3 linked regions of the Anolis sagrei genome follow. The protein of the gene in region 2 purifies or fractionates together with the protein of the main gene of each other region. This does not show direct contact. Links are inferred from orthologs where the notes say so. Each region holds a gene or a part of one and is shown on either strand. Other genes may lie near its edges. The genes, in order: THOC1, DDX39A and API5.

Region 1 (8,090 bases), on a different chromosome or scaffold from region 2:
AAATATACACAAAATATTTACATGTCAACTTTCTTTTATGACAGAAGATGGAACAGATGTCACTCTCAGGCATACACATGATCCAGACCTGCTTTACTCTGGCACTGATGCACCAAGTGTCTTTGAGTAATGCCATGTGTCTGAAAGGCTTATACTCCTATATTCACTTAGCAATGCATCAAATTAAATTCAGTTTTCCTCCAAAATAATCTGTTTAAACATATGTTGTCTTGATAAATAAATAACACTCTCAAACAATGCACTGAAAATCTAGGCACTCTTTGGGCACGTTAAGGAAATCCTACATTAATGGATACATGACAATTCTACATAGCATAAAACAGTCTAAATGAGAAAGGAAGTTATATTGATTCAAGATGTTCCTGAACTGCATCTGCCACAATCCCTTCCTACTAGCTAGGACTACTGATAGTTACTTGGAGTTACAGCCAGTCTATGTTTAGAGGGCTGAAAAAGTCTTCTACCTAACTTAAGCCAAAATTAGTTGAACCAGATATACATTAGGCTTGTGCACATTAAGCTTGCTTAATTAAGCTCCCTGCTGTCCTTCCCTCGGCAGGCTAAAACCTTTCATTCAGGCAGCCTCTTAAAGATGGCTGTGTTTAAGATCAATTCAGGGTGTTGCTGTGGTTTTTAACTTTGTTTTAATGGTTTTTAATTGAGAATTTTTGAATACTGTTTATATTTATTCCTATGTATAAATATAACCTTTACCTTACTTCGATAAGTAAGGTAAAGGTTAAGGTTTACCCCGATATTAAGTCCAGTCGCATCCTACTCTGGGGCTTGGTGCTCATCTCCATTTCTAAGCTGAAGAGCTGGCATTGTACGAGACATCTCCAAGGTCATGTGACTGGCATGACTTCATGGAGCACCGTTACCTTTCCGCCGGAGCGGCACTTATTTATCTACTCACATTTGCATGTTTTCAAACTGCTAGGTTGGCAGAAGCTAAGGCTAACAGCAGGAGGTAATCCCGTTTCCCGGATTCGAACCGGCAACCTTTCGATAAGCAAATTCAGCAGCTCAGGGGTTTAAATCATTGAGCCACCGGAGACTCCTTAATGTCTGTATATTTTAAATGGTTATGCTAATACTTGTATGTTAAACTGCTTTGAGTCCCCTTCAGGGGAGATAAATCAGGGTATAAATAATAAATAAATAAATTCCCACTGGAATCAATAGGAGTAAATCTTTCCAAAGCACACTTTGGGGTTTGGCCCGATTTCTGTTACTTTGAAGACGAGGGTGGAAAAATTAGCCAGACAAGGCACATCTATATAAACAAAAATGTCATGTTCGTTTGTTGGATTAACAGAACTCAAAAACCAGTGGACCAATTGACACCAAATTTGGACAGCATACACCTAACAACCCAATGTATGTCCTTCACTCAAACATTTTTGGTTTTGTCATTTGGGAGTTGTAGTTGCTGGGATTTATAGTTCACCTACAATCAAAGAGCATTCTGGACTCCACCAATTATGGCATTGAATCAAACGTGGCATACAGGACTCCCATGACCAATAGAAAACACTAGAAGGGTTTGGTGGGCATTGACCTTGAGTTTGGGAGTTGTAGTTCACCTACATCCAGAGAGCACTGTGGACTCAAACAGTGATGGATCTGGACCAAACTTGGCACAAATATTCCATATGCCCAAATATTAACACAGATGGAGTTTGGGGAAAATAGACCTTGCCATTTGGGAGTTGTAGTTACTGGGATTTATAGTTCACCTACAATCAAAGACCGTTCTGAAACCCACCAACGGCATAATTGGGGCAAACTTCCCACACAGAACTCACATAACCAACAGAAAATACTCAAGGCCATCCAGTCCAACTCCCTTCACCAGGGCAAGAAAATGTAATCAAAGCCCTCCTGACAAAGAGCCATCCAGCCATAGATATATATATATAGATAGATAGATAGATAGATATGATTCACACACAGAGAGATAGAGTCTCATAGATTTGAAAGGGAACTCTAAAGAAGGGCAATTATATGTTGCATATTCCAGGGTAGGCAAACCAGACAATCTCTACATCAACACTGACAAAGAAACAACAAGAAATACTGTTTACCCACAAGCATAAAGAAATTACACAGATTAGAAACCATTACTTTATTTTCCAGATCACCAGACTGGGCCACAGCAACGCCTGGCAGGGGACAGCTAGTATATTATATATGAACACATCTAAAATACACACTATGAATGCTGCAGCCTAAATTAGGCCCCAAATCAAATCTGTAATAAAGCAATAATTAAACATTAAAAATAGCATACCATTGAGCAGGTATGGGCCAACTTGGGCCCTCCAGGTGTTTTGGACTTCAACTCCCAGCATACCTAACAGCCTCAGGCCCCTTCCTTTTCCCCCTCAGCCGCTTAAGCGGCTGAGGGGGAAAAGGAAAGGGCATGAGGCTGTTAGGAATGGTGAGAGTTGAAGTCCAAAACACCTGGAGGGCCCAAGTTGGCCCATGCCTGGCCTAGAGTAAGCTGGGCCTAACACAGCAAAGATTTGTTTGTGTGTGATGTTTGAAAGGCAGTGGACATATGGAACAAAACAAAAGAGGCACATATCCAAATCTAATAAGAGCCCAAGGGAGGAAAACAGACAAAGTTAAAACAGTATTTTCGAAAGGTTTGGTCTTCCAGAAGTTTTGGACTTCAACTCCCAGGATTCCCGACTCTGGGCCAAGCTAGCTGGGGCTTCTGGGAGTTGAAGTCCCAAAGAGAAGGCGTGGGAAAGGCTGGGAAGCAACGAAGGGAGGAATATAAACGGCTTCTGCCTTCCTCTCCGAAGTAACAACACCTCACAAGCCGCTCACCATGAAACGCAGCCGAGCCTCAGGCAAGCTGAAGAGCAGCGGCGGCGAGGGAGACATGGTTGCCGCTCCTGACAGAAACACGGCGAGGTCTGCTGACGTCATAACCCCGCGCCAACGCTCCGCCTCGTCCATGCCTGCATTGCTCACAAGAGAAGAAGGAAACAAGGGGGAGAGCGAGTTCGAAAGGGCGGGGCCTCTGTCTCAGCATGGGCGGGGCATAGAGAGGCGAAGTCACATGACTCTCTCTCCGCGCTTTCACTTCACCGTTTTGCCGCTAGGGGCAGTGTATTGCATTCTTGGATAACAATAGCCTGATCCTGTCTAAACCAACGTGAAGGAGAAAAAAGATAGGAAGGAAACATTTTGCAGCCTGTCCATTCTCATCAAAGTGTGCATCTACACTGCAGAATTAATGCACTTTTAACTGCTATGGCTCAGTGCTAAGGAATCCTGGAAGTTGTAGTTTTTCAAGTGAGGATTATATATCTGTGGAATGATGTCAGGATGGGAAAAAGAACTTTTCTCTGCTTCAGGCAAGTGTGAATTTCGCAAAAGATTAGCATTGAACGGCCTTGCAGTTTCAAAGCCTGGCTGCTTCCTGTCTGGGGGAATCCTTTGTTGGGAGGTATTTTGCTGACCCTGATAGATTCTTGTCTGGAATTCCTCTGTTTTTTTGAGTGTGGTTCTTTATTTACTGTCCTGATTTTGGAGTTTTGTTTAATACTGGTAGCCATATTTTGTTTATTTTCATGGTTTCCTCCTTTCTGTTGAAATTGCCCACATGCTTGTGGATTTCAGTGGCTTCTCTGTGTAGTCTGACATGACAGTTGTTGGAGTGGTCCAGCATTCCTGTGTTCTCAAATAAAATGCTGTGCCCAGGTTGGTTCATCAGGTGCTCTGCTATGGCAGACTTCTCTGCTTTATTTATTTATTTAGAGCTTTTATAACCCGGTCTTCTCGACCTCCGAAGAGGGACTCAGGCCGGCTAACAGCAGAAAATTCATACACACATAGAATAAACATAATAGCACCATAATACATTAATACAAAATACATTATAATACAGATCATACAATGGTTGAGTTAGTCTGCAGTGCCTTTCATGTTCCTTGATTCGTGTTTGGGTGCTGCATTTTTTGGTCCCTATGTAGACTTATCCACAGCTGCATGGTATATGGTAGACTCCTCTTGTCCTTTGGTAAATGTAGCATTTGTTGGATTTTCTTAGTGGGTCTGTAGATAGTTTGTAGGGTGTGTTACTTCATAGGCAGTGGTTTTTTGTTTTTGTTTTTTTTTTTTGTCGTGTCAGGAGTGACTCCTGGTGTGAGAGAATTGGCTGTCTGCAAGGACGTTGCCCAGAGGACGCCTGGATGATTTGATGTTTTTATCATCTTTATGGGAGGCTTCTCTCATGTCCCCGCATGAGGAGCTGGAGCTGATAGAGGGAGCTCATCCGCCTCTCCCCGGATTTGAATCTGCGACCTGTCGGTCTTCAGTCCTGCCGGCACAGGGGTTTAACCCACAGCGCCACCAGGGGCTCCTATAGGCAGTGGTGTATTTGATGTATTTGAACCACAGACTAGCTCCTTGTACCACTCAGATGGATATTTAATTTTAAAATATCTGGTTTAGTTTCTAGTGAACGGGAAAGTAAACAATTATTTTTAAAATTGTAAGTACTATACTGCTTAACACTTTGGAGCCTAGAAACTATAACTGTGATTAATTGTTTTTTTCAAAGTTATAGTCCAAGCTCAGGTTCATATGAGCCCTTAATAGTAAATATGGCAAAACACTGCTTCCTTACCTCATAACTGTGTGTGTGTGTATGTGTTTGTATACATGTGGAGATATATAACTCTCCTTCCAACTTTACCTTCCAAAATACTTTCTTATCTAGTAGGTAAATTGGCCTCTCCTTCTTACTGTCACAAACAAAAGCTGCATTGGATAGAAAACATTAGTGTTAAGAATAAATTCTACAGATTGTAACTAGAAGATAAGGAAGATACATTTTATTATTTTGATGAATTCCATGCTTGCCATCCTGGTTAGGAGATTCCAAGAGTTATATTTCCCTAAAGTAACTTTCCCAATATCAAGTCTCGGTACTGCTGGAAAATCAGACTACTGCAAAAACGGTTAGAAAAACACAAAGGTTAACCTTTTTGTCTCCATCCATCGAAGGATAGAATAGCTCCATTATTATAAAAGGATAAAATTCGTTAGTTGCTACAGACTGCAACTATAGCACAACTTGTATAATAATTCTTTAGCAAATGATTGTGTTTGATCCTCTCTTTTTTGCTTGTTCATTTATTTGGAATGACCAAATGTTCAATTTCACAATAAAGCAATGTTGAGTCTGCAGTGGTATGATTCTGATAGAGTGGATTGATGCATGTGCTTGCACAGCAGATTTTAAAAGAGGGAAATCAGGTAGGGAAAAGGGTTCACCTGAGTTCATTGATCATTTCAAGAAGAAAAAGAAACAATGAAGGTTTTTGGGTAAGAAGAGGACACAATTGCTAATATGAGCTGGGTTGGTCCATATGTTAGGGAAAACTACCCTAAAATAAGTAGTGGAGCATCCAAAAACAAACAGGATACAAAAGTTGAGCATCAGCTCACTAGCAAGCAGAGCGTGAAGTGTCGTGTGATGTGGTTGTAAAAAAATTAGAGCTTAGGAGGCAAACATGCAGAGTCCAATCTTTAAAAAAAATCACAAAAGTTTTATTTACAATAATAAATAACTAATTAGATTTCTTCATGGTAAAGAACTGGGTCTGAGCTATTTTAACACCCATCTCTTCTAAGGTTTCAAGAGAGGGAAAAACTCAGTCACTACATCTTTCTTGACACACAAGCAGAGAAAGATCTCAAAGCACACAGCACATACGGGACTTTCCACATATACTAGGTTTCTACTTCCATCCATTTGTTCTCTATTACTACTTTTTAAAGAAATATGCAAGTGATTGAATGAAATTGTAATCAAACAATACAATGTTTCCAGAGCTGTGGTGTTAAATAACGTATTTTTACTCATACACATGTTATTGTATTGTAACTTATTCTCAGCATGTTTTCCCGCCTGTAGCTCTTTATTTAGCTTTGGAGAGATTTTGATGTAGTAACTTAATAACATCTACATGATTTCCCTGCTATGCCTACAGGAAAAAAATGCCACAATGTTGTGAAGTTAAAGCATTGGTGTAGACAAGGTCTCAATTCCAATATAGTGCATAACTCTCAGAGAGAAGAAGTGGTATTTCTTTTCAAGGAGCTGCCATACCTAGTTGTCACCCTGATTGATTCTATACAAAACTCTGAATAGGAAATTGTTCTTTTACTAAAACCATTGCATAGCTCGATGTTTTCATTTCCTCAACTCTCTGGAGACTGGACTCCTCTCCTACCACAAGCTTTAAAACAATACATTTCTGTAAGGCTATTCTGCAGCCTTTCTTTAATAAATCACGTAGAGTACTTCTTGGTTGAAAACCAAATCAAATCAACCAACTACTCTTTATACCAGATTGCTTTTATGGTCTTTGGGGAAAGCTAAATGAAATGTTTCTTGTTTGTGTTGACATTGCTATCTTCAGTGACACATGAACAAATTGTAAAGGCCACTGTTTCATAACAGACCTCTTTTTACTTATAGTTCCCACTACTGTAAAAAAAAAAAAGAGTAGCAATGTTTTGGGTTCTTGTGGTTGAAGAAATCTATACACACAAAGGGGATGGGTATCTTTTTGCCTGGTTACAATTTGGTGCACTTTGGTGACTAAAGAGATATAACTATGGCTGAATTTACACATGGGCTATATTCCTAGCTTGAATGCAAAGTATCCTGCACCAGCTTGACTCCCCTTAGTGTCATATGCAACTGTTTTAATCCAAACTCAGTTGTAAAAAGCATTGACCCCCAAATACCAAAAGGGTGTTAATGAAAAGTTCAAAAGAGAGGCAGACAATAGCAGGATAGTACAGAGAAGCCGAATGTCCCATTTCAGGTCATAAGTCAAGTACCAGAGTTCAAAGTACAAGGTTGAAATTAGAATTTGTAAACTGAGGTTCAAGGATAAGTCCGGAGTTTAGGAATACAAGAAAGCAACACTCCATTGTCATAGCTTCTAGAACTGATGTTGCAGCCAGTAACAAGGTGCCACCTGTGAAGTCCTTAAATCCGAAGTTCTCGGAGGTTACCTGTTGCTGGCTCATTTCTCAACTAGTCTCCAAAACCTGTGCAGCTGAGGCCCTCTTTTTTCCAGGTCCATGAAAGCTGGAACAGTTCCTCTTCCTCAGCCTTCTCCAAGGAACGCCCTTGCACTTGTTCTGCAGGCAGTAACTCCTTCAATGGGTGTTGCTTGAAAGCTTGGTTGAGGAGTTGATGGGCATGGCTAGACTCAAGTTCAAGCACAGAGACTTCAACCAGCCTCTGCTCATCCATGCTTCCCAAACTGGCCATGACACCAGTTTTGCATTGGATCACATTCTTTCCTCAGTAGAAATCAATTTGGATCAAAAGAGGTGTTTCCTGTCTTTCCTGAATTCTTGTTGTATTGGATCACTGTTGATCTTTACCAGGGGTCCTCAAACTTTATTTAACCAAGGGCTGGTTCACTGTTCCTCGGGGGGGGGGGGGGGAGAGACTATAGTTTGAAAGAAAAAAAAACTGAACAAATTTCTATGCACAGTGCACATATTTTTAGTGCAAAAAACCCCCCAAACTAAAATGAAAGAACAATATAATTGTTCTGTCGCACGCTGGGCCTGTAACAGCTGTCTTTTCTATAGGACGTATACTTTAAGCCCAGCGGGAAGCCAGGGCGCCTCAAAGAGAGGTTCTCAGGGATTTTTCTGAAGTGACGGTCTTTAGAGTCTTTAATGATACAACAAAGTCTTTATTATGGAACAAACAACAAATCTTCAATGGTTCAAAAAATACTTCAAGGCTTTCTTAGTTTAGTCCTCAATGGACTGGTACCTGACTTTAATTAACTGTACTTTCTCTATGGGAAAAAAACTCTTTTTAACCTCTCCCAGGCTGATTACTATCTATGCCTCATCAGTGTGGGTCCTACTACCGATTCCAAACGCATCTGGGTATCGAGTAGACCTACTAGCCAAGGCTTGTAGATATTTCAGATGGAGTTCCGTGGATCTGTAATGCTGTCCTCCTTCAGAGAATTCTTTGAGAACTTCAGGGCTGTTTTCCCTCTGAT
Region 2 (7,537 bases):
GTCAAACTGCGTGTTTAGATGCTTTCCAAAACATTTTGGATAACAGGTATTCCAAAATCTGGGGGGAAACAAATCCTGATAGCATTTCGGATAAGGAAGGTGCAACCTGTAACAAGGGGCCTAGCAACAACTTCAGGATTGGTGCAAAGGCGACCTGAGGCCTGCCTCCGCAAAGAGGGCTGCTGGGCGGGAAGCCTGGCTCCTGCAGGCCGGCTCAGGGACGCGTCTCCGCGGGTGACCTCTCGCTTCCCTTCCGTCCTTCCGTCCCTCCGTCCCTCCCTCCCTCGTACCGGAGCAAAAGGCGGAGAGTGGCGCCCAGGCGGCCCGCGGGCAGCATGGCCATGGCGGCAGCTCCAGGAGGCGGCAGGAAGGAAGGCGGCACCGGCTGCCTCTTGCTCCGGCGACAGAGGGCGCGAAAGGGACGCTCTCTCCGCGGCAACTCGTTGGCTGCTTAAAAACCATCCAATCCCGGCGGAGGTTTTCTCGCGACGCATTGGCTGGCCGAGATTGAGCGACCATGCTAGGCGGAAGTGATGTTTCAACGCCCCCCTCCGTGCCGCGCTAGGGACTGAGCTCTATGGTAGTGGTCTCAGCCTGGTCCATCCCAGCATCCCATTTTGGAATACCTACCTCTGTCTGGAAGAGGAGACCAGGATCTCTCCAAACAGGAAGTTAATGTATGTTTCACATGCACCTTGTGCGCAGGGCCGATAAGATTGTTTATATTAGCGCTGTCTGAGACCATTGTAGTCGGAGGTGACCCCCCCCCTCCCCCCCAATAAAAGATAGTTCATAATCAGGAAATTCTTAGTTTTGCCAAGGACACCAGGCTGGAACGATATATGAATGAACTTTTTTATGAATGGACTTCAGCTGATCGTTGCCCTTATGAACTTCATGTTTTCCCCTAACTGCCATGGACCCTAATGTGTGCCTATCTGTAACTGTGCTGTCACATGTTGGGCCTGTGAACGAGTCTATAGACAGGACGTGTTTCTGTGTGCCCAATAGGCCGCCGGGGGTGCTTTGGCTGAGAGGCCTTTCGGATTTCCCCACACAAAGTTCTTTTAAAGACTTAGAAAGTTCAACAAAGATTTTATTGTTGCTTAAATCTTCAATAAATCAAACAAATACTTCAAGGCTTTGAATCAACTGGTGGCTTGCTTAAATCGTGTCCACAAGGGACAGGCAACTTTCTTCATAAACTGTTTCTTCCTTCTACAAGGGAAATCCTTGATCCCTCCCTGGGCAATCTGACTTAAGCTCTGCTGGCATGGACCCCTACACCAAATTGCTTTATGGCTGCCGCGAGTGGTCCTTACCAAACAGAGTCATTTAGCAGATTTCCAAGAGGAAAGAAGGCTTTCAATTCCCAGGGAAGGCTGGCTGTAAACCGCAGAGCTGTATTTCTCCAGCAAAGAGCTGGCTGTAGAGTTGTGGAACTAAATTCCCCAACAAAGGCTATGCTGTAGTTATCTGTAGAGTTGTGGGACTGGATCCCCCCAGCAAAGCTGTAAAAGACGAAGCTTTCTACAGGTGGAACTGATTCACGTCCTGTACGAAAGGCTTCTCTGTGTGAACTGAACTAGAGGTCCCCTTTTTCCCTCCTTAACCCAGAAGAAGGGGCAGAACTAAAGAACATAATGATAATTGATGGGTCATTGGCCCTATGATTGCAAACCAAGGGAAGCCACCTTATTGCAAAATGCATGGAACTTTGGAATACATGCAAACACTCATTAGAAAGTTGGAGCTCCTGGTACAGCCGTACCAGCACAGTAACTGTATTTTATTAACTAGCCGTCCTCTGCCAGGCGTTGCTGTGGCCCAGTCTGTGTATATGTGTTGTGTGTATCTATGTGGTTTTGCGCATGCATTGTAATTTTTTTGCTTTTTAAGTCTCTTCTGCTGTGTTTTTCAGTGTTTTTATGAGTGATGGTCACTTGTTGGCCTGATAGGTGTATTGTGTCCAAATGTAGTGTCAATTTGTCCAGTGGTTTTTGAGTTATGTAAATCCCACAAACAGACATTGAATTTTTATTTATATAGTTGATTTTATATGATTTATATGTACATCTGTATCAAAATCTGAGGAAAAGGTGACCTTTTTATGAACTCTAGCCAGCTCTTCCTGACTCAGGTGCCACAAGCTGCCCTGGGTCTGCATTTTGTTGAATGGACTCTCAAGCATTTCGCAATATAGACAATAACTGGATGACCCCTTTTCTTAAGCCTCAGAGGATCAAGCCACTTAAGAATTGGGTAAACTTTTGGACACTTTAATCACTCTTCGAAAAGGATTTTTCCCCTCTTCGAGGAGAAGGGGATGTCACAGCTTCCCAAAACAATGGCATTTCCTTCCCCAGTAAACTGGATTAGGAGATCATCAAGATATTAATATCGGTGTATTTTTTAACAATGGGTTGACTCCAAGGGGCCAGAGAGAAATGTTATTTCAAAACTCTGTAGCAATAGCTAGGTTGGGCTTGAGGGCTTACAGCAATCACTTCGATTGCCTGTCAATAGGATCTGGGATGGGCCACTCATAATCCTATCATCAAGCTACTATTTTCTTTTGTTTTACTGTTGCCACACCTCCTTGCAGCTGAAGGAGGGCTCAGGCTCCCATTGGATGAGCCACACCAGCCCCCTGGCCGCTCTTCCTGGCTTGCTGATGTCACAACCAATCACAGCAAAGCGGGCGGGAAATTTGAATGGAAAAAACTGTATATATTGTCTAGTTTTTTGTATTGGAACCATGGTGGTTTCTTCAGCAGATTACTGCAGCCGTCATCCTTTTCCAGCTGGAACAGAAATAAATACCTTGGTGGCTTCTCTTCAACTTGGTGAGATTTATTCTGGAATACTGGCTTCTTTTCTCACCAGGCTAAACCCACAGTGGCTTGGATCTCACTATCCACAACCATTCTAAATTGCACGACGCCAGTACCCCTTGGCTTATGGTACTACTACTAGGCCTCACTTGGGGGCATCCAGGCAAGTCTTCGGACTCTCTAGTCGGCCTGCTGTTGCTATATGTGCCACTTTTAGCTCTGATCATGGAACAAAACATGTGTTTAAATAAAAAGCAAAGATGTACAAACCAAACCACCCTTGTATGAGTCTTAGGTCTACATATCATAGCGTTGTGAGAAGATTGTGTTGTTGTTTATTCGTTCAGTCACTTCCGACTCTTTGTGACCTCATGGACCAGCCCATGCCAGAGCTCCCTGTTGGCCATCACCACCTCCAGCTCCTTCAGAGTCAAACCAGTCACTTCAAGGATACCATTCATCCATCTTGCCCTTGGTTGGCCCCTTTTCCTTCCATTTCTCCAAGCATCATTGTCTTCTCTAAGCTTTCCTGTCTTCTCATTATGTGGCCAAAGTACTTCATCTTTGCCTCTACTATTCTTCCCTCCAACGAGCAGTCAGGCTTTATTTCCTGAAGTATAGACTGGTTGGATCTTCTTGCGGCCCAAGGCACTCTCAGAACTTTCCTCCAACACCACAGTTCAAAAGCATCTATCTTCCTTTGCTCAGCCTTCCTTATGGTCCCGCTCTCACATCTGTAGGTTACTATGGGGAATACCATTGTTTTAACTATGCGGGTTTTCATTACCAGTATGATGTCTCTCTGCAGTTGGCAGAGGAACAGAGGAATACTCTTAGCTCACAATGCAATGTCTTGTTACAGGACAAATAAGTTTTTTTAAAATAAATAAATAGGGCAACTTCTTGGGAGACATAACAAGGCCACTTCTGTGGCAGTCAATCCAATGTGGTCCACCAGCAGGGTATTAGTTTTAAGGAGAAGAGAGAGACTGAAACTATACAGTCGGCTGCTCACAGAAAACAAACTTTTTCTACAGTCTGAAATCATGGGAGTTGTAGTTTGTAGAAAAGGATGAAGACTTAGGACCCCTATATCCCAGGTTTTCTTGATTATATGAGTCCTCACTGCCAGATAATCTGGGATAAACAGAAAAGCTGGGATCAGATGCTGGGATATACGGCCTGTCTGGAATGGCTCCTTCTGAAACGACAACTCCCATGATTCTATTGCACACAATCCCAAACTGTGGCTTGGTAGCTGTTTGGGCTTTACTTTGGGAGAGCCACCCTCACACGGCAACCCTGCAGCTGTTTGGGCCTTCAACTCCCAGAATTCCTGACCAATGAACAAGCTGACTTGGGCTTCTGGGAGCTGGAGTCCCAAACAGCCGGAGGGTCGTAGTTTGAGGATGTCTGTTCTGTATAGCATTGAGTCAGGGCAGTTAACATGGTACAAAACGGCATTAATGCTTCATTGGCGATACATCCACGCTCTTTCCTCCCGCAGCCATTTTTCTCCAGTTCGTTCCCTCTCTTCCTTCCTCCCACCTTCCTAAAGACCAGGGAAGGAGATGAGAAACCGTACGTCATCTTCCGTGAGCCAATCAGGGGACGGAGAACCTTGATTGACGGCTCTGAGGAGTGAGGTTCCCATTGGCGGCTTGGGAATGGCGGCGGGCTCTTACTCATCGGCGGCCAGTGCGAACGGGAGGGACTTCCGGGGCGTCTCAGTGGCAGCGCGGTCTGTGCAGAAGCGAGGACGAAGGCGCGAGTTGGAGCCGGAGGGTGAGTGAGTCCCCGCTGCTCCGCCTTTTGGGCCACAGCCGTTGTCCGGGGCGAGGCCTGGCGGCGCCTGTGTCCTAAGCCGCAAACGCTCCGGCCCGCGGCAGGGCCCAGGCTAGTCCCGGTCCTCTGGCCTTTGCCACCTGCCCCCGCGGGGCCCTCTCTTTCCCCGCCTCGCCGCGGTATCCCCAGTCACCCTTTAGCAGACGAAAACGGCCTTCGGGGAGAGAGGCCTTAAGGTCTGGAAGAAAGGGAGAGCAGCCACGTTGGCGGCCATTGTTTGGTCTACAAACCAATATGCCAACTAGTGGGAGGTGCTTGAAAAGAATTGCAAGGCATGTCACATATTAGAAAAAGCAGGGAGTAAAGCCTTGCTGGTTCTTAAGCAGCCTTGCTACGAGGCGGATGTTAGTACTGGAGCTAACCTCTGTTTTTTCGGTATTGTCCCATTATCAGGGCAGAGGCCACTAGGGGGTGCCAGAGAAGGAAGGAGAGTCCATTTTAGGGGGAGGAAAACCATTCCCCCCGTTTTCGCTCGTTATTCCCCCTCCCCACTTCCCATATAAACAGTATGAGGAAGTGGGGGGGGGGGGGAATAATAGAAAAACGGGGTAATGGTTTTCCTCTACCACCCCTATGAAATGGACTATTCTTCTGTCTGTAGTGCCCCCTAGTGGCTCCCAGTGCAACAGAACTGTATTTTCTTTATATGTTTATTATTATGAGGCTGGATGGCCATCTGTCGGGGGTGCTTTGAATGCAAATTTCCTGCTTCTTGGCAGAATGGGGTTGGACTGGATGGCCCATGAGGTCTCTTCCAACTCTTTGATTCTATGATTCTAGAGGGGGGCAAAGCATAACCCAGCAGAGGTTGGTGGACAATGGCTCCCAACATTTTTCATTATTGAGGGCCCTCCCAAAGGCTGACGGGAGTTGCAGTCCACCAAGATCTGGAGAATGTCTTTGTCCTCCGTGGTTTATAAAATGAAAAGTAGTTTTCAAAGGGAGTGCTTGCACTTGTTGTGCTTTGTTCTCATGTCAGTTTTACGCTGTATAGATGCCTAGTGATCTATCATTTATGGTATATGGATGAGAAAGCCAGCCTGGCAGAATGGCCTGAGTGCTAGAGTATAGCCCTGGAGACCAGGGTTCGACACCTCCCCGAGCCATGCAAACTTTGGTCATAGTTTTAAAAAATGCAATATAAAAATTAAAAGAAAACCAACTTAATAATATAGTGTGGTTTAAGGTAAAAACATTAAAATATAATAAATGCACTTAAAATGGCTGTTAAAACCCACAAAATAGGAACCTTTTTGAAAAGCATGATAGATGTCCCTTCAACACCCCTCCCCCCAATTAAATAATAATGATAATAATAATAATAATAAAGCTTTATTTATACCCCACTACCATCTCCCCAAGGGACTCGGTGCGGCTTACATGAGGTCGAGCCCACAATACATCAGCAAAAAACAACAACAGCAGTAATACAAAACAATAAAATAAAGCTCATAAACAAAAAATAGGCAATAAACATCGACAATAACACAATAACATTTAAAAACCAATGGCTGGGCCAAATGTAATAGTTAAAATTTTAAAAATAATGCTGGACAAGACCAGGTGAAATATAACTCGGATAGAATTTCGGAAAAGAATGGGGCGTACAGACAGTTCTAGATCACTAATAAGGTGCAATAAATAAGACTCCTGGTGTGATCAAAATAAAGAAAGTAAAGAGAAAGCTTGAGATTAGAGAAAAGCTTTCTTTTGGCCTCTTTCATATCATCTTTTCTGATTGCAACATAAATATCTGAGCAGAGAAGGAAAGATAATGTATGCCATTTGTATGTGCTGTATGTGACTCTGTAAGTTGCTTTCTGGTCATTAGATATGTGGTTAGAGAGGTGCCCATTACTGCATGTGGGGATAATTATTGTTATGCTACAAGTAACCTGGGAAATAATACTTTAATTGGGAAAAATAATGTATGGTAGCAACTTTAAAGAGTGTATTATTCCTTTGAATAAACATGGTTTAGGGTGTTGCAGTTCTCCCATATTTTGTCTCCACTTTTCTTAAACTATTCCTGCAAACTTGGAATATATCTCTGTATTCCTTGATGATTTGCCCTTGTTTCCATTCACTTTACTGTGTAACCACACTGATTTTTAAAAGATGCTTAAATCTTTTCTGCTTTCATGTAATTTTTGTGATGGTGTTTTTAGCAGTTTCTTCTCCATGAAATCCTTCCTATGCTGGGTGTCTATTTCCTTTAGCATCTCTGACAATGAGATTCTGCCCAGTATTTCCTTGAGTTTGATTAAAAGTAGTTTTCCTGAAATCCAAACTACTTTACTCTGTTCAACAATAATGAAGTCTAGCATTACATGATCACTGTTCCCTTAAAAGTACCAACTTTTTGATTCCACTAACCAACTCCTCTCTATTGGTTAAGATTGAGTCTAAGACTCCTGGCTCCCTTGTTCCTTCAACTTTTGAAAGCGGAGAATATTTGCAGAACTTGTGGCTAGTAGAGCAAATCACCTAGCCAATATCAGAATAACTGAACTATCCGTTCTTATATCTGTGAGATTTTAAAGATTTGTTTCAGAAAAATGTAATCTACTACGTCTTCTTAGTTTGGTGGTCTGCCATGTTGTTTTTATTGTTTCTCAGGTGGTCTCCACTGATCTTTAGATTGCTCCCATAGATTTCTGGACAAGAAGCTATGAATTTGAAATATAATGCGGTTCTCCCTCCTTTTCTTTCCCCATCTGTTGTTTTTAAATACATATAGTTTATCCCTCAATTGTTATATTCCAATCATGGGAGCCATGCCACCAAGTTTGTGTTATGTCTACAGACTTAATGGCCATCACTGGCTTAACTGTCTTTCTGCAAGGCTCTAGAAACAC
Region 3 (7,035 bases), on a different chromosome or scaffold from region 2:
CAGCTCACTATTATGACTATATCTCTGGAGACTGGAAATTAACACAACTTGTAATGCTAGAAACTTCAGCAGCATGAGTCCTCATGGGTGGCAACAGGCTCAATGAAAGGACACATTCTAGCCTCTTCTCTAGCAACAGCAGCCTAAAACAACAGGAAGATTCCAGGCAGCAAGATTTTTCTGCTACGTAACACACCTAAATAAATCCGAGACATATGTATATCATTTTTTTCTGGTGCAAAGAAGCCTAATAAAGAAAAATATGGAACATAATCTTTACGTGAAGTCTATAATTTTACATACAAGCTTTGCAAGCTTAATTCAGAGGGTAATGTATTGTATTATGTTATGAGGATGTACATAGACTGCTCATACCTCAAAAACCAATATTACAGATGAGACAAAAATGGAAGAATTGTGAAGTGTGCCATTTCTTACAGCAGCAGAAAGAAATTCACTTTTTAAATTTAAGATTTAATTATAAGTCAAATTTCAATGTACCTTAGGAAGCTTTGGATACAAACCAAATCATGGTATGTATCTAAAACATGGCATTGCACTGAGAACACATCTGCAAAGAAGTTACCCAAGAGGGAGTTGTTAGTTGAGGACATGGGTTTGGGGGGGATCCAAAGATCCATCTATGTTGTTGCTGGTATAAATTCTGCCATGTAAAATGCACCTAGAGCTGGTTTTCATTCCTACAGATAACATAGTATTGCATTTAAAAATGAGCAAGGCACACAGTAGATTATGGCAACCCTCTTACAGGATTTCCTTGCCAAGATTTGTTCAGAAGAGGCTTGCCACTGCCTTCTCGGGAGGATGAGAAAGGCCGACTTGTCCGAGCTCAACCAGAGGCTTTCATGCCAGAAGAAAACCCCAGTCTTTGTCCAAACCGTTAGACACTTGCATTCCTGTGGACAGTGTGCCATTGCACTTAATTCAGGAATAAGACATCTTGAACCAAGCAGATCTCTCATTGGCTACAACATGCACACCTTTGCTGATGACTCCCAAATATATTTCTCCATGCCTTCAAAAACAGCTTGAGATAAGGATAGCATATCTCCTCTGAATGAATGCCTGGAGGAGATAATGGGCTGGATGAGAAAAAATAAGTTAAAACTGAATCCAGACAAAACAGAGGAGCGTGCCATCAAAGGTCCTCATCTGGGGATGGAGGTTTGTCAACTAGTTCTAGATAGGGTTACACTCCCCCTGAAAGACTGTGTTTGCAGTTTGGGAGTACTCCTGGATCTGTCTCTCCAAATGTCAGTCCAGGTAGATGCGATAAGTCAGAACTGCCGTCAGCTTCATCTGCTACACCAGCTGCACCCCTTTCTAGATTTGGAGGCCCTGAAGATGCTAATGCACACACTGGTAACCTCAAGGTTCGACTTCTGCAATGCACTTTACATTGGGCTACCCTTGTACCAAGATTGGAAACTCTAGGTAAAGGTTTTCCCCTGACATTAAGTCCAGTCGTGTCCAACTCTGGGGTGTGGTGCTCATCTCCATTTCTAAGCCGAAGAGCCGGCGTTGTCCATATACATCTCCAAGGTCATGTGGCCAGCATGACTGCATGGAATGCGGTTACCTTCCCACCGGAGTGGTACCTATTGATCTACTCACATTTGCATGTTTTCAAACTGCTAGAATGGCAGAAACTGGAGCTAACAGTGGAAGCTCACGCAGTTTGTCGGAATCGAACCTGCGACCTTTCAATCAACTAGCTCAGCAGCTCAGCGCTTTAACCCACTGTGCCACCAGGAGGTCTTCGGAAATTCTAGTTGGTTCAAAATATGGCAGCCAGATTGGTTACAGGAAGATCTAAGAGTCAGCATATTATACGTATCCTAAAATCACTCCACTGCCTGCCAATTAGTTTCCAAGCAAAGCACAAAGTGTTGGTTTTGACTTTCAAAGCCTAACATGGTTTGGATCCAGGTTATCTAAAGGACTGCCTTCTCCCACCCAATCCACCCTACACACTTAGGTCCTCTGGGGGGAGGCTACACCAATTAGCCAGAACCTGACTGGCAACCACCACCCAGAGGACCTTTTCATGGGTAGCATTAAGGCTGTGGGGCTACCGATCAGCTGTCAGAATTTAAGGCACAAGTGAAGACCCGTCTCTTCCAGCAGGCCTACCCAGTCTTTAAATATAAACATGCATTTTAATGCATGTCCTTTGTTTAATCTTTGTTTTGTCTGTTTTAATATGTATTTCATATTGGCGTGTAACTTTTATGGAGGTACATTTTAGTTTGTATATTTGTAGCGTTTTTGCTGTGTTTATGTATTTTAATTGCTTTGTAACCCGCCTTCAGTCATGAGAAGAGGCGGGTATGAATAAAAAAAAATATTATTGGCAAAGAGCGAAAAGGCTTTCTAATGTAAATGCAGCGATACAATTCCAAACTCTTTTGGGCGTTTGTAGAAGCGGTCGAGAATTCACACCAATAACCCTGGATGCAAAATCTAGCGTCGACCTTGGCTCCCAACACATGAAAGAGCAGAATACACTTCATAAGCGAGCCCGGGAACCGAGGGAGGCGTGGAAAGAGCTTCCAGAAGTCCCCCCCGCAAAACAGACTTCCCACTGAGCAAACCAGAGGCCTCAGAGAGGCACCGAGGCCTGCCAGGGCTAAATGGGGGAGAGGATCCGAGCCCGGCTCCCTTCATCGCGAGTCCGCAAGGCCCCTAGCTAAGGCCTTTTGCTCCCTCGTTCTCCTTCCCCACTCCCCTCGCCCGAAGACGGGGCCCAGGTGCCTGGAGCTCCGGGCTGAGCCACCCGGCAGGCCCTGCGCCCTTCCCCACCTCGGCCGCGGTCTCCTTGGCGTCGGCTAAGATGCCGTAGTTGCGGTACAGCTCCTCCACGGTGGGCATGGCGGCGGCGAGGGCTGCGCTTCCTCCTCCTGCTCAGGCCTGCCAAACCCTCGGCTTCTGCGAAAGCGACAGCAACAGAGACGACAACGACAACAGCTTTCCTTCACCACCCCCACCGCGAACGGAAGCGCCGTGTCAAGCCGCGCAGGCTTATCGCAACATCCGGCGCCGGGGAAGCAGGCCGCGCGTGCCCCACAGCGACCCCTGTCGGCGCGGAGGGCGAGCTGCAGCTGGAGAGTTGGCGGGGACAGTGGCAGCACCAGAAGAAGCAGGAGCAGCAGAAGCAGCAGCAGCAGCAGAAGAAGCAGAAGCAGCACCAGAAGAAGAAGCAGAAGCAGCACCAGAAGAAGAAGAAGCAGCAGAAGAAGCAGAAGCAGCAGCAGCAGAAGAAGAAGCAGAAGCAGCACCAAAAGAAGCAGCAGTGGAAGCAGCACCAGAAAAAGCAGCACCAGAAGAAGAAGCAGAAGCAGCAGCACCAGAAGAAGCAGGAGTGGAAACAGCAGCAGCAGCAGAAGAAGAAGCAGAAGCAGCACCATAAGAAGCAGGAGCGGAAGCAGCAGCAGCAGAAGAAGCAGAAGCAGCACCAGAAGAAGCAGGAGCAGCAGAAGAAGAAGCAGAAGCAGCACCAGAAGAAGCAGGAGTGGAAGCAGCAGCACCAGAAGAAGCAGGAGCAGCAGAAGAAGAAGCAGAAGCAGCACCAGAAGAAACAGGAGCGGAAGCAGCAGCAGAAGAAGAAGCAGAAGCAGCACCAGAAGAAGCAGGAGCAGCAGCAGAAGAAGCAGAAGCAGCACCAGAAGAAGCAGGAGCGGAAGCAGCAGCAGAAGAAGAAGCAGAAGCAGCACCAGAAGAAGCAGGAGCAGCAGAAGAAGAAGCAGAAGCAGCACCATAAGAAGCAGGAGCGGAAGCAGCAGCAGCAGAAGAAGCAGAAGCAGCACCAGAAGAAGCAGGAGCAGCAGAAGAAGAAGCGGAACCAGCACCAGAAGAAGCAGGAGCGGAAGCAGCAGCAGCAGAAGAAGCAGAAGCAGCACCAGAAGAAGCAGGAGCAGCAGAAGAAGAAGCAGAAGCAGCACCAGAAGAAGCAGGAGCGGAAGCAGCAGCACCAGAAGAAGCAGGAGCAGCAGAAGAAGAAGCAGAAGCAGCACCAGAAGAAGCAGGAGCGGAAGCAGCAGCAGCAGAAGAAGCAGGAGCAGCAGCAGAAGAAGCAGGAGCAGCAGCAGAAGCAGCAGCAGCAGGAGCAGCTGCTGCTGCTGCGTATTCATATATTTATCGTGTTGGAAGGGAATTGAAAATACAGTTATAACTTATAAAAAACCACAAACAAAGTTTTAAAACCCTTGGCATTACACTAGATTTCCTTTGACCAGAAGCTGGCCACTTGGAGTGCCTCTGGTGTCGTTGTAAGGAGGTCCTCCATTGTGCATGTGGTAGGGCTCAGACCGCATTGTAGTAAGTGGTCTGTGGTCTGCTCTTCTCCACACTCGCATGCTGTGGACTCCACTTTGTGGCCCCATTTCTGAGGATTGGTTCTGCATCTTGTGGTGCCAGAGTGCAGGCTGTTCAGCGCTTTCCAAGCTGCCCAGTCTTATGTGTACCCAGGAGGGAATCATATTTGGTATCAGCTATGGATTGAGGTTCTGGGTTCAAGCCTGTCACTTTTGGACTCTCACCTGCTGAGGTGTTCCTGCGAGTATCTCTGTAAATCTTAGGAAGCTATTTCTTGATTTAAGGTGTTGGCGTGCTGGCTGATATCCGAACAGAGAATGGACTGGAGATTTCACTTCCTTGGTCCTTTCATTATTGGCTGCTGCTGCAAGATATCTGCCCTTGTGCTTTGCTACTCTGCTGGTGAATACGCATGCCTAGCATGGAATACATGGCACCACATTAAAACAGTGGATGTGACTCTTAATGAGACATGGCGCATTATCACAGGATGTCTACACCCCACACCGATGGAAAAATTATACTGTTTCGCTGGTATTGCATCACCTGACATCTGTTGGGATGTAGCAGCCAGTAATGAAAGGACCAAGGCAATGGTCCAGTCCATCCCTTGTTCAGATATCAGCCAGCACGCCAAAGTCTTAAATCAAGAAACAGCTTCCTAAGACTGAGAAAGATACTTGCATGGACACCTCAACAAGTAAGAATCCAAAAGTGGCAGGTTAAAACAAAGCACTTTAATTAGTGGGTGAGGCCAGATGAGAAACTCCCTCCTGGGCAGGCACACAGAAGAGTGGATGACCTGGAACATGCTAAACAGACTGCGCTCTGGCACCACTAGATGCAGAGCTAACAGAGTTTGGAGTATTTTGGATTTTGCAATTCCCAATAAGGAATGTCCAACCCTTATTGTAGTCAGTCCTCCATATCTACAGATTCAGCCATCTATGGCTTGAAAATACATAAATTTAAAAACACCAAAAGCAAAAAACAATTGATTTTGCCATTTAATGTACGGCACACAATTTCATGGCTCCGTGGTATAAAAGAGGACTTTGAACAACCTCAACACATTGAGAGGGAATAACACGGGTGACCACCCCTTTTAGCGTAGAGATTTGAGAAATGTCCTTCTTTTTAATATTTTTTTATTGAATACAATATAACATGGTCTCTGAGCAGATAATAAATGTCTGTGGTGAGCTTACATTGTGATAAAGTATTTCTATATTATCTTTTGACCTTTTTTACAAGTTTGTTCTCATTACATTTTTTCTCTCCCACCTCTTCCTACCTCCTTTCCCAACCCCACCCACCACATTGCTCATTTCTCTTTAATTACATCTGTTTTGTCCTCCTATGAACCTTCTTCAGTGTAATAATGTCCGTTTCATATTTCATATTTTTCCATCTTTCCATCCCCAGGCTATTACCGCCTTTCCTGCTGGAATCATTGCTTTACATAGATTCTTTGCAGCAATATTTTTGTTCCCTATAATTGCCATTAACATAAGTTCCATGATGACCTGGATTATTATTTTGAATAGTTTACCCATTTTTATTATCTTATTCCAAAAATTGTTATATTTAAACAATCCCACTCCATATGTGCATACCAGCCTTTCTCTACTTTAGAATGCCAACACATTGGACGTAGTCCTATTCCCATATTTGCTAGTTGGGCTGGTATCCAATGACATTTCCAGATAAATTTGCTTTCTAACTCTATATTTTTCCTGTTTAATTTTCTTAACCCACTTCTTTATTTCCTCTATAGTTTGTTTTGTGAGTGGCCCTTCCTTCTGCCATTTATTTTTTAGTGTTCTTACTATATATTCATCATCTTGTATCATCATTTTATACATACTACTAATCCTTTCTCTGTTTTCTGTCCTTTCGTAAATATACTTTCCAACTTGCTTTTTCTGCCTAGACATTCCCCATATTTCTCTTGTTTAAGTTTGAGCCCCCGGTGGCGCAGTGGGTCAAACCGCTGAGTTGCTGAACTTGCTGATCGAAAGGTCACCGGTTCAAATCGGGGGAGTGGGGTAAATTCCCACTGTTAGCCCCAGATTCTGCCAACCCAGCAGTTCGAAAACATACAAATGTGAGTAGATCAATAGATACTGCTCTGGCAGGAAAGTAACAGCGCTCTATGCAATCATGCTGGCCACATGACCTTGGAGGTGTCTATGGACAATGCTGGCTCTTCAGCTTAGACATGGAGATATGCACCAACCTGCAGAGTTGGTGCTCATCTCCATGTGCTCATGGACTTAATGTCAGGGGAAAACCTTAACTTTACTAAGTTTGTTATATAGGCCTAATACTTTTATCCAATTTTATATCCCACTTTATCTGTTATCCCACCTATTGCAATCAGTTGCCCATTTATGTCATACAAATCTGGTGGCGCAGTGGGTTAAACCCCTGTGCTGGCAGGACTGAAGACCAACAGGTCAGAGGTTCAAATCCGGGGAGAGCGTGGATGAGCTCCAGCTCATCATGTGGGGACATGAGAGAAGTCTCCCACAAAGATGATGAAACATCAAAAAACATCTGAGCATCCCCTGGGCAACGTCCTTGCAGACGGCCAATTCTCTCACACCAGAAGCGAGTTGCAGTTTCTCAAGTCCCTCCTGACATGACAAAAACAAAAACAAAACACCATGTAGGGTCGAACTCCTTTTCATATATGCT

The links.
Region 1: the proteins of DDX39A (region 2) and THOC1 purify together in Homo sapiens (affinity purification with mass spectrometry; 3 studies listed by BioGRID and IntAct, with this or other methods). This does not show direct contact. The link is inferred for Anolis sagrei from reciprocal best matches to the Homo sapiens genes DDX39A and THOC1.
Region 3: the proteins of DDX39A (region 2) and API5 fractionate together in Homo sapiens (co-fractionation; 3 studies listed by BioGRID, with this or other methods). This does not show direct contact. The link is inferred for Anolis sagrei from reciprocal best matches to the Homo sapiens genes DDX39A and API5.

Annotation. Positions count from the first base shown.
Region 1 is NC_090024.1:60,858,373-60,866,462, forward strand, and holds the start of THOC1 (THO complex subunit 1), read right to left. Parts: upstream 3,003-8,090; 5' UTR 2,992-3,002; coding exon 2,860-2,991; intron 1-2,859. UniProt on the Homo sapiens protein: Component of the THO subcomplex of the TREX complex which is thought to couple mRNA transcription, processing and nuclear export, and which specifically associates with spliced mRNA and not with unspliced pre-mRNA.
Region 2 is NC_090022.1:113,422,584-113,430,120, reverse strand, and holds the start of DDX39A (ATP-dependent RNA helicase DDX39A), read left to right. Parts: upstream 1-4,512; 5' UTR 4,513-4,619; intron 4,620-7,537. Other genes in the region: MRPL12 (large ribosomal subunit protein bL12m), read right to left, coding at 291-343. UniProt on the Homo sapiens protein: Helicase that plays an essential role in mRNA export and is involved in multiple steps in RNA metabolism including alternative splicing. Regulates nuclear mRNA export to the cytoplasm through association with ECD.
Region 3 is NC_090021.1:275,016,665-275,023,699, reverse strand, and holds the start of API5 (apoptosis inhibitor 5), read right to left. Parts: upstream 2,893-7,035; coding exon 2,824-2,892; intron 1-2,823. Other genes in the region: golgin subfamily A member 6-like protein 24, read left to right, coding at 2,891-3,079, 3,111-4,178. UniProt on the Homo sapiens protein: Antiapoptotic factor that may have a role in protein assembly. Negatively regulates ACIN1. By binding to ACIN1, it suppresses ACIN1 cleavage from CASP3 and ACIN1-mediated DNA fragmentation. Also known to efficiently suppress E2F1-induced apoptosis.